Linked DNA regions of Diceros bicornis minor. Each later gene encodes a partner of the first gene's protein in a complex. Links are inferred from orthologs where the notes say so. Each region holds a gene or a part of one and is shown in the gene's direction. Other genes may lie near its edges.

Region 1 (7,332 bases):
GCATTTTAGTGGGGGTAAGAACAGACAGCAAAAAAAAAAAAAAAAAAAAGATAATTTCAGGTACTGAGAGGTTTTCTGAAGATAATCAAATAGGGTCCCGTCCCAAAGACTATCTGTGGAAACCACCTTAGATGGGGTGGTCAGGGAAGGCCTCTCTGAGGAAGTGACATCTGAACTGAGACAGTACTAATGGGAAGGAAGAGCGAATGCCAAGGTCCTGAGACTCATACATCATGGTGTCTTCAAGGAACAGAAAGAATGCTGGAGCCTAGTGAGCGAAGGGAAGGGCGGGGGAGACGAGAAAATTGTTTGATGATAATAGTATTTCTGCTTCTGGGGGTTGAAGTTGAAAGAGCAACGTCTCGGCTGCTTTTCTGCGAATGCTCTCTCTTCTCTAAGTTATTTGGGAGAAGCGTGGGAAGTCAGGAAAACGGCAACGAAGTTTGCCCCATTACCAAGCAGAGGGGCACTTAGTCCTCCAGATGTCGCCTTCACCTCCATTCTTCCTCAACGCTAATGAGGCCAAAGTTTGACCCGTCTCAGGTGGGTCAGCTCTGCGCAGGAGGAAAGGGCATCAGGTCACAGCCCGACTGCTTCTCCCCTCGCAGCCAGTCTTCTCACACGTATGTGCTGCAGGTCATGGGGGGACTGGGTGCTTCACAGATCCTGGCGAGTGTCTCCCGGCACGAGACACTTGTCCCGAGCGCTTCAGAGAGGCTCCTGTGTATGCTCAGACCACCCAAGGTGCGGCCCAGATTCTCCCATCTCACAGACCCAAAAGCTTACGTGACTTGTTCAGGATCATACAGCAGGAAATGGTAGAGTAAGAATGAAACCCAGTTTTTCTTTTTAATTTCATAATTCGTTCATTGGACATGAATATTCCTGCCACTCAAAAAGTTATAGAGAAAACACATTAAAACCTGTGTACTCCATACACAGCTCAAGAAACACTTGTACCTCTCCCCACTCTACTAAACCAGGTGGCTTCCAGTTCCTCCTACTTGGGAAACACTGCAAATGGGATCACCATCCATTCCACAGTGCAAGCCAGAGATCCAGCAGGCACCAGTGACACCTCCCTCTTCTTCCAGTCAGTTACCAAGTTCAATTAATTTTGCTATCTATTTCCACTATTACTTCTTCCCTTCTCCTTTCTCCAAGTATCATCTCTTACCTGGACTATTGCAATGGCCTACTAACTGGTCTCCCTGCACCTACTCTTCCCTCTTTCCAGGCTAATCTCCACATTATAACCACCAACATTCTTAACACCTTTGAATAGCTGCCCTTTGCTCTTAAGATATAGACAAAATCATCTGCATGGCATGCAAGATCTCACATGGTCTTTTTCCTACTCAACACTCTAGCTTTACCTCATTCCCTTGTTCTCTGTGCTTTGGAGGTACTGGCCCTCTTGCAGTTCCTTATAATCCCCAAGCTCCCTCCCACCACAGGGCTTTTGCACATGCTATTCCTCCCTTCTCCACCTGAATAAGTCTCTTCTCTTTCTCAAGTAAGCTTTCCCTGAGTGTCCTGAGTCATTCTTTGGCATTTGGCATTTTTACAACTTTACATTTGTTTGAGAATTTTTTTTTTTGTGAGGAGATCAGCCCTGTGCTAACATCTGCCAATCCTCCTCTTTTTTTGCCGAGGAAGACTGGCCCTGGGCTAACATCCGTGCCCATCTTCCTCCACTTTATATGGGATGCTGCCACAGCATGGCTTGCCAAGCGGTGCGTCGGTGCGCGCCCAGGATCCGAACCGGCGAACCCTGGGCTGCTGCAGTGGAGCGCGCACACTTAACCGCTTGCGCCACCGGGCCAGCCCCAACATTTGTTTGAGATTAATTGATTAAAGTCTTTCTTCTCTAACAGGCCAAGGACCAAGAACCACTCACTTAGTACAAAATACATGCTAAATACATAATAGCCAACATATATAAACATGCCAAGCAGTGTTCCTAGCCCTTAACATGTATTAACTCACTTAAGACTTTCCAAAAGCGTACACGAAATAGGTACAATTATTAGCTGCATTTTAGCAAAGTCAGTCACACAAGCTAAGAAGAGGCAGAGCTGGGATATGAACTCGGGCGGACAGTTTCTGGAGTCTGTGTGCTCAATACCTTTTGGTGCCTCACTAGCATCTGCTGAGTGCAGGCTAGTGTTGAGTGCTTTGGACAGGGACTAGCCAGCATCATCAGGAACCTTAGTTCAACTAAAAACTCATTTCACTTGGGTTTTGGGAAGGATCTTTTGTTTGACTGGAACTTTGCTGCAAAACATTTATCTTCCCAGCATTTTATTTCAGCTACTTTAAAAATCCATTTGCCCTCACTGGTATATCATGACTGATGTCGAGTAGAGGGGGTGGCTCAGCACACCGGTGAGAGCAGGAGAAAGCTGGCTTGGAGTGAGACAAAACTCTGGATCATTTGTAGCATGGGTAATCCGCATAAGGGCAGTTCAAGATTTTCATGGAGGTCATCTCACTTAACCTTCATTGATTCCTAACAAAGTTACACACAGGGCCGTTCTTCCTCAGTTAACAGATGAAGCCAAAGGCCGGGTTAGGAGGACGGCTAAGCCACAGGAAATCCGCTAGTCACAGAATGAGGTGAGGAATGGTGTCCCCACACTTCCAGCATCACAACTGCAAAGATATCTCTAGCAGAGAAAGACCTCTTCTTTCTCTTTTAAGGTTAAAGGTAGCTGGCCAAGCTTTTTTTTTTCTTTTTTCTCCCCAAAGCCCCAGTACACAGTTGTCTTAGTTGTAGGTCCTTCTAATTCTTCTACGTGGGACGCTGCCTCAGCACGGCTTGATGAGCGGTGAGTATGTCTGTGCCCAGGATCCGAACTGGCGAACACCCGGGTCGCCGAAGTGGAACGCGGGAACCCAACCGCTATGCCACAGTACCCGCCCCAAGCTTTTCTAATTCTTGGGTGGAATCTCTCAGAGAGGACGGAGTTCCTCCCAGGTATTCCCAGTATGACTAGAGTAGGGCAATTATTCCACAAGCTCAAGCTATTTGGTAAAGAGCTCTATAAGCTATATCCAATTACCCCGAGATCAATACAATGAAAATGTAGTAATTCAGGACATTCTTCACGGGGAGTCCATGTACCAATGTCAGGGAAGTCAAACTGTATGCACATTTTCTTTATGTGCATTCTGCTAAGGAAAGGCTTTCATTAGTTTCTTCCAGGGCTTAGAACTAAATAAGGCTAAGAACCACGATCCTTTATGCCTGTACACACATTCCTGCTGGCTCACGGTTGTGCCTTGATTAGAGGCACCTTCGCAGGATGAAACATTTATATTCCTTTAAGTACCTGGTAGCTATGGATGGGGCGTCTAAGAGAAATCCAAATGCCCATCCCACGTGAGTTAGGCCTTAAAACAGCACAAGCCTCAAACCCTATAAATAGATCTAAAAGATCTGCATGCGCATTCTCCTCCTTGGAAAGGAAGCTGCGTGTAAGGCCAAGGGCAGTCAGGAGCGCTTGAATCCAGTCCAGACCAGGCCACTAACCCGCTGTGTAACCTTGGACAAGTTGCATACCCTCTCTGGGCTTCAGTTTCCACATCTGCAAATAGAAAGTTGAACCGCATGGTCTTCAAAGTCCTTCCCAGCCGAGAGCCTGGTACCAAGGAGGCCTAACCATTAAAGCAGCTTCCTGTGGGCGCGGTGCAGGGCTTTAACGGTCCCCCCTCCCCCGCTCGGGCCCGCGAAATCCTCTTCAACACGCCCCTCGGAGTGACGGCGCTTCCCCAACCGCAGCCCGCACACGGCTCCGCCCCTTCCCGGAGGCGTCCCGTCGTGCCCCGCGCCGGGCTCCGAAAGCGGCGGGGCACCTCCCGCCTTCCCGCGGCCGCGACCCCGAACTCCTCTCCCCAGTTCTCCCGGGCGCCCTATCCCATCAACGTCTAGGATCCCAGCCAATCACGCGGGCCCAGAGTCTTGCCTTCGGTCCACCCTCCTCCCAGCGCGCAGCCGGTCGGAGCTCAAGGCCTTTACCAGGCCAACCCAATCAGCGGCCGGCTCTCGCCTGCCCCACCCCGACCTCTCTCCCCTCGACCAATCCGCACGCCCCATTCCGCTGCCCGCCCAGCTAACCCGGGCCTTGAAACTGGCGGGCAAATCGGTGCATGGCGGCCCTTCAACGCTGCCCACCCGGCCAATTGGGGATTCCGCGTGGCCAGGGCGGCAGCCAATCGGCGAGGAGCGCGGTGCCGCCGCGGAGAGGCCCGGCCCGAATATCCCTCCGCCTTCCTCCCTCCTCTCTCTCCCTCCCTGCGAGCCGCCGTTCACTTATCGCCTCCCTTCCTTCTTTCTCCCTCCGCCGCCCGAGCACCAGCCGCGCTCCTAGCTGCCCCCGGGGTCCCTCCCCCGCCGCCCGAGGAGCAGCTGCCATCGCCGCCAGCAGCAAAATAGGAGGGAGGAAGGAAGGCCAGGAGGAAGGCAGGGGAGCCGGAGCGACCACCAAGAGGGAGCCGGTGAATGGGCTTGTGGTGACCCCCGCCCCCCACCCCACCCTCCCTTCCCACCCGACCCCCAACCCCCATCCCCAGTGAGAGCCGCCGCCCGAGAGGCCGGGCCGTCGTCTTAGGAGGAGCCGCTGCCACCTTCTCCGCCATGGAGCTGATCACCATCCTCGAGAAGACCGTGTCCCCCGGTAGGACGTGGGGGCCGGGGGTCGCGCCGAGGTGACCGGGTGGGGGAAGAGGGACCCCCGGCCCTTCTGACCCTGTCCCCTTTCCCACTTTCCTTCCCCCAGATCGGCTGGAACTGGAAGCGGCGCAGAAGTTCCTGGAGCGTGCGGCCGTGGAGAACCTGGTGCGTGCCGGCCGCCGTCCCCATCCCGCCGTCTCCCATCCTTGCGTGCGGGCCTTCCCGCCCTCCCGGAGGCCCAGGCCTCGGGAACCCACCCCGCCCCATCCCGTCCCCCTCCCCCCGCCCGGTCCAACCTAACCCCGCCATCGGGAAGCCGGTGGGTGTGTCCCGCCCCGGGCCCCGCAGTGGGCCAATGGCGCGGCGCGCCGGGGTGACCGCCGCCCAATCGCCGCGCGGCCTGAGGGCGGCGGTGCAGCGCGAGGGAGAAAGAGGGAGGGAAGGGAAGTTAGGTTGCGCGGCGCTGCGTGTTCAGCAAGGGTGGGGGTGGGGGAGCCGGGCCTAGGGGCCATGTGGAAGCTCGGAGCCCGGCTGCCCGCCTGGTCTCATCCGGGCCGGCTTCTCTCTCCTGTCCCGTGGCCCATGTGATTTTAGATTCTCTCCACCTACTTCCCAGAGCGCTACGCTTTCCTATATCCCTTGGTCTGTGCTCAGGACCAGGCCTGGCACCCAAATGCCCGTTCCGGCAGTATTTCTTCGTTTCCTGCCTGGTTATTCCTCTCCTGGGGTGTTTTTTTTTACATCAATTGAGTGGAGACTTAATCTGTACCCAGACAACCCGCTGAGGCTCATCCTTGAGATCGGGCCTGTGTCCAGATGAAATCACAGAGGAAAGTTCCTCGTTTTTCGTATTTTCAAATTTAAGGGCTACAGACAAAAAATGAAGATAAGTCCACTAGAGACTGGATCTCGAAATAAAAATGTGGGATGGATTGGTTGAAACAGCCTGTGTACCAGTAATGTTTCTCTTTGGTGTCCCTCTCCTGTTGGGGGGGATGGGGAGCAGAGGGAAGGGTGGATGATACTTGACATCTTTTAAAAAGTATTAGGTAATAAATCTAAATAACACTAATTAAACGTGGTCCCTTGTGTTATCTGGGCAAAGTAATGTAAACAAAAAAAGTGACGAGGCTTATTTTATACAAACTGCCTTTAATCATTTTTTTCCCCCCTCATATGTGCTAGTTTTTAGTACTAATCTTTTTATCCTTGACTTTCTGTAGAAAAGATATTTTGCACTAGTGTAGACTGATAACATTTCCATTTAGGGTATATTCTTGTTTCTACTTTTGCTAATATGCAAGAAGGCTTTTATCTTGTTCCTAACATCTTATTCCTAACATTCTTTAGTGGTACATAATTAATAAAACTTTTAAGAATTATCTTCTGCTGTGATTGCGGAACTTGTTAGTGGTAAGAAAGTACCTGCTTTTGGTTTTTCCTGTTAACTTTTCCATTTGCACAGAGCTTTCTGCGGGTAAGAGGAGAGTGTGTTACAATTTTTAAACAAAGGGAGTAGTTTTGGGGACCCGTGCATTACAAAAGATTAAGGATGCTTTTCAGGAATCCAGTATGTTTAGTGGATAACTCAGGTACAAAATGTATAGGAGGTTGTAGCGTATTAACTGTTGACTATTAAATATAAAATTATTTTCCTTGACATTTTTAACTTTTCAATGTTCCCCTATTCCTAAATATTTATGTTTTTCCTTGTAAATCTGCTTTTTTCATTGTTCCCCTTTTACTGAACACTTAGAACTAAAATAGAACTAACCTCCGAAGTCCATGTTTTAGGTTTATAAGTATTTCCCTCTCTTTTACAAGGTTACCTGCTTCCATGAGATCAAAATCCACCTTGAGTATCATTCTTTTTGGACTAAGATTTTTTAAATTTAGAAAAACAATTTTACTTTCTACCCTGTCATGACATGTTCATTCATTTAACAAATATTTATTGAGTACTAGGCACTGTTGTAAGTACAGAGAAGAATCCTCTCACTACCACATTGTCAAATTTGCTTTAGTACTGAGGGATCTAATGTGAAGATCTGATGTTGGTAGGAAAATCTCTAACTCTTTGTTAAATGCTGAGGCTGCATGAGAACATGGATGACTTCTTTATATACCAAGTAACATTTTTATAAGAGTTTTGAAGTAGATATTTTGACATTTTCTGAGACGTTATGATATGTTCTAAAAAATTTAGATTTTCTCCAGTGTTTTGGTGCTCTGTAATTCATTCTCAATTGGTGAAATTCCTAAGAGAGATTTTCATTCACAAATGCATCTTCTCTTAACAGCCCACTTTCCTTGTGGAACTGTCCAGAGTGCTGGCAAATCCAGGAAACAGTCAGGTTGCCAGAGTTGCAGCTGGTCTACAAATCAAGAACTCTTTGACATCTAAAGATCCAGATATCAAGGCACAGTATCAGCAGAGGTGGCTTGCTATTGATGCTAATGCTCGACGGGAAGTCAAGAATTATGTAAGTGACTTTCATCTCATTCTGGTCATATTAGCCTAGGGAACAAGAAACATCTTTGTCAGTTTTTTGTCATTTAAATGGGATAGAGCTGACAGTGTAATAGGTTTCTGGGACCTAAACTTCACTTGAAGATAGAAATCGTATTTGATTTAAATCTTCTTTCTCAGTTCAGCT
Region 2 (7,529 bases), on another chromosome or scaffold:
AGGGAACGTAGCTACACCCGCCAAGGGGCTCCCAGGCCTCTGAACTTTCTATCAAGCCTGAGATCTCCGGCAGCCAACTGCGTCCTCCTCTGGGATCGTATCCGCAACGGGCGACCCAAGTCAGTGGTGGGAGGCGGGGGGCTGATAAGGATCGTCCAGTCGTCTTCAGGCCTCTTCCTAGACCCTGGAAGACACGCCTCCCCCTCCCGCGTCGGGCGCGCAGGAATCAGCCCAGGAGACCCCAGAGAGGCAGCACGCAGCTCGCACGTTTGCTTTCCCGCGGACTTATTTCTGAGAAAACTCCCAGGAAGGGCAGGCAGGGCCCTAAAACACCGTAATCACAAGCTCAAAGCGCGGTAGTCACGACGCCCAGTCTACGTGTGGGTGTCTAGATGTCTTTCTGCTTGAAAGGATGGACACCCTAGTCTGGGGGCTGCCTTGGGGAGAGACCCCATGTTTTGCAGGGGTGGAAAATGGTGTTAGGCAGGTCAACTGCTTCCAAGGTCCCGGCGACTCCCAGGAGCAGTGCCTTCCAGACAGCAGGGCTCAAATTTTAAAGAAAGGAAGATTCTCCTCACAGCAGAGCTGGGCCCCGGCCAGGAAGGCTGTGTGGCACCGCCTGAGATCCGTTTCAGGTTGAGGGGTTGTCGTCTGAACCAGGTGGGACTTGGAACTCTCCCTGTGGTCTCGTACAAGTCCAGAGCTGCCTGCTTCACGGAGCCAGGAACTCGGCCCAGCCAAGGGTATCCGGCGGGCATCAGTCCGGGAGATCAGGACCTGCGTGCTACACATCCATTCTCTCTCACCCTCTCTCTCTGTCTCTCGCTCACATACACACACACACACACACACACACACACTCCATCCCTAGCCAGAAGACTCCTCCTCAAAGGTGTTTTGATGGTTATGGGTTTGGGAGGAACACAAGTGCTTAACCTTGGATAGCTGGTCCCTAGAGACCCCCACTTCCTAGAGACCTTCTCATCTCACATTGGCTTGAGACTTCAGGGGAAAACTGCCTCACTGCTGGACTTTCTGGTCCTGTCTGGGGAAAGCTGAGCATTGCCCAGGAAGTAGGGAAGGATGAGGATGGTGTGAGACCCATTTTTCCTCCCAGAGGCAGTTCCTCCGGAGGTCAGCAACTAGTCTTGCTCCTGGAGAAGACAGCTCCTGCTTGAGTCTTATCTTCATCTAACTACAAAGATATTGAATAATGAAGCACACACTTTCCTACCCCTACTAGGGATTTAAAGGCATTACATCCCTTTTTTTGCTACCTTGAGGTCAGCTGGCAACAGTCTCCTCAAGTCTCTGTCTAGGCAAGTGGTGTGAACCATGTTCTGATGGAATCAAATGATAACTTTCCTTGAGTTAATTATGCAAACTTCTCTATGTAAACAAAGAAAAAGTTTGGAGAAGAGAAGAGATGAGTTTAGCTGTTTGGTGTCATAGGATTTTAGAGATATAGCTTGGAGCTACAGATTGGCAAAATTGGTTAAATCTGAATGCTTATTGGTAATAAGAGAATTTCTGAGCCCAGGTGCACTGTTTAAAGAGCTATGGGTACTTTTTTGGTTTGTGTGTTTATTTGTTTGCTTGTTGTTTGGTCTGAGGAGGAAAAAAGGGAGAAAGATAAAGAAGCTAAATATAAATGCTAGAGTTTTTTTTTTTTCCCCCCTAAATTGCAAGAAGAGAGATCCCTGGAGATATACTGGAATTTAAACATGAATTTAAAAGTGCACTTAAAAATTTAGAAATCTCATTTTAAAATTGGAATATAATGCCGCCATTGGGGATGGGAAGATGGAAGTCTGAGGCTTGCTCATGGGCTAGGCATTTGTGTAGGTGTAGATCTCACACTGTGAAGCTGTCTTCACATGGAAATACTTCAGATTAAAGACAGGCCTTCAAATCCTCCTATTTGCTAAGGTGCATTTATGTGATAGCAAGGCCTAAGCAAACATTTGGCCTCTATTGGCACTTGTTCTAGTCATAAGCCTAGAAAAAAAAAAACAAGCCTCCTAGTGTGGAGTCATCTCATTTGCTAGTCATGTGTCCTCAGCATTATCACCGAGGTTACTCAGTTATATTGGGAACTAGATTATGATGTCTGAAAATATCCTTTTCAGGAAGGCAAAAAAGTCAGGGTCCTGGGTATATATTGAGGACGATTTCTACTGAAAGTAATAAACAGGGCAGCTTAAAAGAAGTACCTGCTTTCTAATAATTGCCTTTGGTGGGAAGAGAAAAGGCTTTTTACAGGAAGTTTTTAATTCATTGAAGACTTAATTTTACTTTTTGAAGAACACAAAAATAATTATTTCTGGAAGAGACTGCGGAGAAGATCTCCCTCCTTTGGCCAGAAGAGCAGAGAACACTGTAAATCAAGGAAAAGGTGAAGTAATAAATTATGAGGAAACTTTGGTACTCCAAGTATATAAAGACTATTTATTTTTCCTGTGTCTATATTTTCTCTTTTTGTGGAGGAGAGGAAATTCTAAAAATATTTGATAGATGTTTTGCCATTAACACCAGAAAAGTGGGGGGGGGGGGAGAAAGGAGGGAGGGAGAGGGGGGTCAATTTTGTTTAATTAGTAGAAAAAGCAACATAAATCAAAGCACTGTATTGATGCCAGTCTTTAATTTACAATGTTCTGAGAGTATAATGAATTTATTTACAGCGTAAGTGATTTAAGATTTTCAATCTGCTTTTTGTTTTAACCTTTTATTGGGGGAGGGTTAACTTTTTAAAGCCTGGGCAGTTTGAAACTTGGCTAAGTACCTTTGGGTTTTTTATTGTGGAGGCAAATATTATCATTTTAATGTTAAACAACTTGCAAGTATTAAATGGCTCATTTGTGATTTATTTTTTTTACAGATTTCCTCCTTCAAATCTAATGATTACATTAAGGCTCCTGCGTCTTTTGGGAAAGAATTTATTATAAATCAGAAAGTGTTAGAGGTTCAAACGTTGACATTTCTGAGAGCTGATACTTTGTCTTTTCATGCCATGCAAACAGGTCTAACATTTAGAAATTCTTAAACGTTCAAGGGAAGTTGTGGAAATTCCCAGGTTTTTTTTTAGTAGGAGGAAGCCAATTTTTTTTTAAGTATGGAGTTTAAAGTAATCAAATGAGGGAGATAGGAGCGTCTGAGAAGGGGTGACGCCCACCCAAACTAAACAGCAAACGTTAACTGCTAGCTAACTAGCTGTAGTTAACGAGGGGAAAAGGGAGCCCAGATGAGCGAGGGTCGGGGAGGGGGCGCTCTTTCACCCACCCTTGGTAAAATCCGTGAAGCATCAGCCAGAAAGCCAGGCTTGATAAAGGTCAGGCTCCCTTAAGCATCTCAGATCTCTAAATCACACTAGCCTAGAGAGTTTTGAAACCTACCAGTAGGATTGTCTATCTAGAAGACAAACATCCCTTGAATGCTTCCCAACCACCCGCATTCATTTCAGAAAGATAGAGGAGCCGGTTGGGCGGGCGCTCACATCCGCTGCAATCCTTTCCTGAATGATACTGCCCAGTAAATCAGAGCAGTCTTTCTTCCCCGCCCAAGAGCTCTGGGAAGAACCCCCTGCTTTCCCTTCGCTTCTCCGAGGCAGAGCAGCGTACAGCTCTAGTTCCGCTGCCTCTGCAGGCTGAAGCGACACGGATAGAGTCATCCCAGAAAATGTAACAGGGGACTTGGGGGGGGGGGCGGGGGGGACCGAGTAGGTTATGGGGAAAGGGTGGGTTAGACTCCTGTCGGTGGGCAAAAGGGCCGTGTGCGCTCTCCAGGAGTGTCGGTCCCCGTCGGCAGTTCAAAAGGGGGTCTCCAACATGTGCGCGGGTTTATTGGACGGGCTCCAGATGTCCTCAGCTGTTCTGAGACAGCAAAAAATGCAATCTCGAACTGAGCTCTGAAACCGTTTTTACTCTTCTAAGCGAAGGATCTCCCCCTCCCTAGCCAACGCTCCCCGCTCAGCTCGTCCCAGGAAAAGGCCAGGGAGAAGGGTTCCCGTCTCGCTCCCCGAGCTCCCAGGCGGGCTTAGGGCTTCTTAAAGCGAAGGGCCAAAGGCCGGCGACCTCGCCGCCGAGGGTCCCGGGAGCCCGCGCTCTCCGGCTGCGGCTCCTTGGCCTCGGCCTCGGCGCCCGCGCGTCCGGCCGGGCGCGGCTGCTGCGGCGCGCCGGTGGCCGTGGCTGCCCGGGGCCGTCCGCACGCCCTGGGGACCTCGGCTAGCAGATCCGCCGCGCAGTCCCGGGCCGGCGGGACCCGGCGGGAACGAGCGGATCTGCCCACGCCCCCGGCCCGGGGATGGCGCGACCGGGCCAAAGGTCTGGGGTGGGGCTCGGCGGAGCTCTGAACAGGGCCGGGGGCGGCAGTGCGGGGGGGGGGGGGAGTTCCGCCGCTCGTGGAACATTCCCAGCCCGGGGCTCCCCTTCGCTCGCTCTGGCCGCCCGTCGCCGCCCCCGCCCCCCGCGCGCCCGCGCCCTCGCTCGCCCCGCGCGCGTTCCTAGGGCGCCACCTCTTTGCGACTCGCTCACTTCTCCGGCAGGTTTGCCTGGGAGCGTGTGAACATTCCTCTGCTCGACTTGCAACTCGCCTCCAACCTGCGCCGATCGGCCAGCATGCCTCCCCGCCCGTGAAGCGGGGCCGCCGCTGCCCTGCCGCTCCGGCCGCCGCCGCCCCTCCGCGCCGCTCTTAACCCGCCCTCCCTGCCACCTGGCCCTCCTGATCGACGACACACGCACTTGAAACTTGTTCTCAGGGTGTGTGGAATCAACTTTCCGGAAGCAACCAGCCCACCAGAGGAGGTAGACAGACAGCTATGTATATATATGTGGGTCTCGCTACAAGTGGCTCTGCAGGAAGACGGCCTAGTTCGCAAAGAAGCTGACTTCACGGGGGGAACTTGCTTCTTTTTTAAGGAGGGAGTTAGCCTTGCTCCACGAACCCAGGAGAACTGCCTGCTCGCCAGATTAATTAAACATTGCTATGGGAGACGTGTAAATACGCTGCTCACCATTGATGCATATATAAAACCATTTCATTTTGGTTATTATTTCAGAGGAAGCGCCTCTAATTTTTTTCCCCCTTTTTGGTCCCTTTTTGCCTGTGTGGTTTGGAAAAGGCACAGTTGGAGTAGCTGGTTCCTAAATAAGTAAGTGCTGAGAGGCTCCAGAGAAAGTTTCTTTTGTTTTTTCTTCTTTGCAACTTGGGAGATGCCTTTGATGTTGAAGAGGCTATTTGAAAGCAGGCGAAAAGGGGGAGCGGGGTAGTGCGGGGAGATGGAGATTCCGGACTGACATTTCGGCCCCCTTTCCACTGTTGCAGGTCCCGAGAGCGAGAGGATACGATGCTGCGGAGGCTGGTTCAGCAGTGGAGCGTCGCGGTGTTCCTGCTGAGCTACTCGGTGCCCTCCTGCGGGCGCTCGGTGGAGGAGCTCGGCCGCCGGCTGTAAGTGCCCCGTCCTCCCCGGGACGCCGGGTGAGGGCTGGGGAGGCTAGTGGGAGAGGCCGCCAGGCTGGGGCGCTGCCGAGGGCTCCCAGCGGTCACTGATGCTCCTCGCCCGGGTTAAAGAGCGGAGAGATCCAGCTACCTGCGGGGAGCTGAGCCCGGATCCTCAAACCAGGCGGGAGAACTGGTTGAACCTCGAGGGGAGACAGGCAGGAGACAAATTTTATGTGTTTCCATAAGAGGGAGCGTTTTACAGAATCTCCTCTAGGCAAAGATCTTCTGCCTCTAATGAAAAAAAGAAAAGGTTATTTTCAGGACCTGGGAAGGTTTTGAAACTCTGAGGATTACGAGAGATTTAGATAACTCGGAGGAAGCTAAGAGACCTAGGGGACATATGTCTGTGTGCGCTTGTATACGTACTGAATGTGGGTGGCAGTTTGTGTGTGAGAAGCAAAAACCTTACATCTAATTTTATTATGAATGACATAATTTTAAGCATATAAAATGCACCACATTACATAACGAAGGCATATTATATAATAAAGTAGTAACAACTTTGCAATGGCTCGACTCCAACGTTAGTATTGATACAGTTCAGGAACGCTAGAGCGCTGGATTCCAAAATGAATATTAGGTGTGGAAAGTTTTTTTTTTTCTTGGAATTATTGCTAACAGTTCTTTAATCTAGAGTCAAATATTTGCATTGTAGACTGAAAACTTGTATTTTTGCATTCTCATTAGGTGTTTCTTTTAAGGAGAATTTTGACTTGAAAGTCACCGTACATCCACGCACGCTAGAGAAATATCACTATGTTGTATGATTGAAAAGTTGGAAGAGTGATAGAGTAACACCATCTTAATAATCTGTTGGACCTAGCAGTTCATTAATGTGTGTAATACCGTCTTTGAGTGATCTTTAAGCTGCGGACTCAGTGTTCAGGGTGGGAAAACCATAAAGTTTGAGAACTGAGAATTTGCCTCTGAGAAGGAACTACAGAGAACTTTTACACTAACAATAATAGTAGCAATATCTAATATTTACAATCAAGTGTATGGTGCTTCCTTGTAAATTCTTGAGGGTGTACAAAAAGGCAACTGTTTTATATGTGCCCTTGGTCTATTATTATTAGAGCAGAAAATCCTTAAATGAAATTACTTGAGACATGTCTGAACCTTGGCACGAAAATGAAAATCTATTATGAATCTCCTAAGGCAAATTGTGTAGAACATTGTACTGAAGATAAAGCTGCATTGTATTCTTCAAATCAGCGTTTTGCTGATATATTTCTGAAAGTTGTCTTCAGACTTTTTTGCTCATTTTGAGGCTTGTATTAAATTCAATTATTTAAAATCCATATAGAAATATAGATGAAGACTGAATTTTTAAAAGCACACTTAAATACTGGCCAAGAAATACTGTTTTGGAACAGATCCAATTTTTTCTTTAAAGTTGCTTAAGAAATACCTGTTTTCTCTTTTGAGAAACAGTAAATGGACCATGATTAAATCCATAGTTATGGCATAAAAATAGCGTTAAATTGTCCTAAAGGCTATTTTTAACTCTTTCTTTGTTGCACCTTGCAAAATACACATCAGAAACCATTTAGCAGCCAGAGACTCTGTTATAGTTTTGTTTGTGGGTAAAATATAATATTGTAGTTAAACACTCACACTCAGCAGATGGTTATAAAACTACCACAAAACATTCTTATAGTTAATGGCTAATAGATCATCACATTACTGCCATGGTTTTTCATGGAGGCTGAAATCATCAGTAGATGAAGATGTTTCATCAAATTATTACAGCCAAATGGAGTTTAAAAAAACAAGTCATTATTTTTGCATTGCTGCCAAGTAACAGTAAATTTTGTGTGCTAGACAAAACATTAGTCTACTGTTAACACTAAATCAACCTAGTTTCTTGAAATTTTAGCAATCAAACCATATTACTCCCCAATTACTTTTCACACCAAGTATTAGAGAAACTGCTTTAGATGTTTTTCTAACTAGGGGCCAACTTTTAAGGGAGAGGAAACTACCACAACAATAACATTTCCTAAGCCAGGCAAAGGAGGCAATATAGATTG

The links. Proteins that work in one complex are often made in the same cells at the same time.
Region 2: the proteins of KPNB1 (region 1) and PTHLH are in contact, whole or in part, in a crystal structure (PDB 1M5N), measured with the Homo sapiens proteins. The link is inferred for Diceros bicornis minor from reciprocal best matches to the Homo sapiens genes KPNB1 and PTHLH. Residues at the interface, in NP_002256.2 of Homo sapiens: Val55, Tyr104, Pro106, Gln111, Glu152, Tyr156, Gln159, Asn196, Leu199, Asn200, Gln239, Glu274, Gln278, Glu281, Asp288, Ile295, Ser298, Glu299, Asp339, Asp340, Trp342, Val350, Met353, Glu395, Trp430, Arg434, Glu437, Asn469, Trp472; in NP_945316.1 of Homo sapiens: Tyr103, Thr105, Gln106, Glu107, Thr108, Asn109, Lys110, Val111, Glu112, Thr113, Tyr114, Lys120, Thr121, Pro122, Gly123, Lys124, Lys125, Lys126, Lys127, Lys129.

What each region holds. Positions count from the first base shown.
Region 1 is NC_080757.1:38,184,678-38,192,009, reverse strand, and holds the start of KPNB1 (importin subunit beta-1), read left to right. Parts: upstream 1-4,319; 5' UTR 4,320-4,639; coding exon 4,640-4,679; intron 4,680-4,781; coding exon 4,782-4,840; intron 4,841-6,975; coding exon 6,976-7,158; intron 7,159-7,332.
Region 2 is NC_080756.1:35,145,598-35,153,126, forward strand, and holds the start of PTHLH (parathyroid hormone-related protein), read left to right. Parts: upstream 1-4,523; 5' UTR 4,524-4,799; intron 4,800-4,900; exon of another isoform or gene 4,901-5,146; intron 5,147-5,319; 5' UTR 5,320-5,341; coding exon 5,342-5,442; intron 5,443-7,529. UniProt on the Homo sapiens protein: Neuroendocrine peptide which is a critical regulator of cellular and organ growth, development, migration, differentiation and survival and of epithelial calcium ion transport.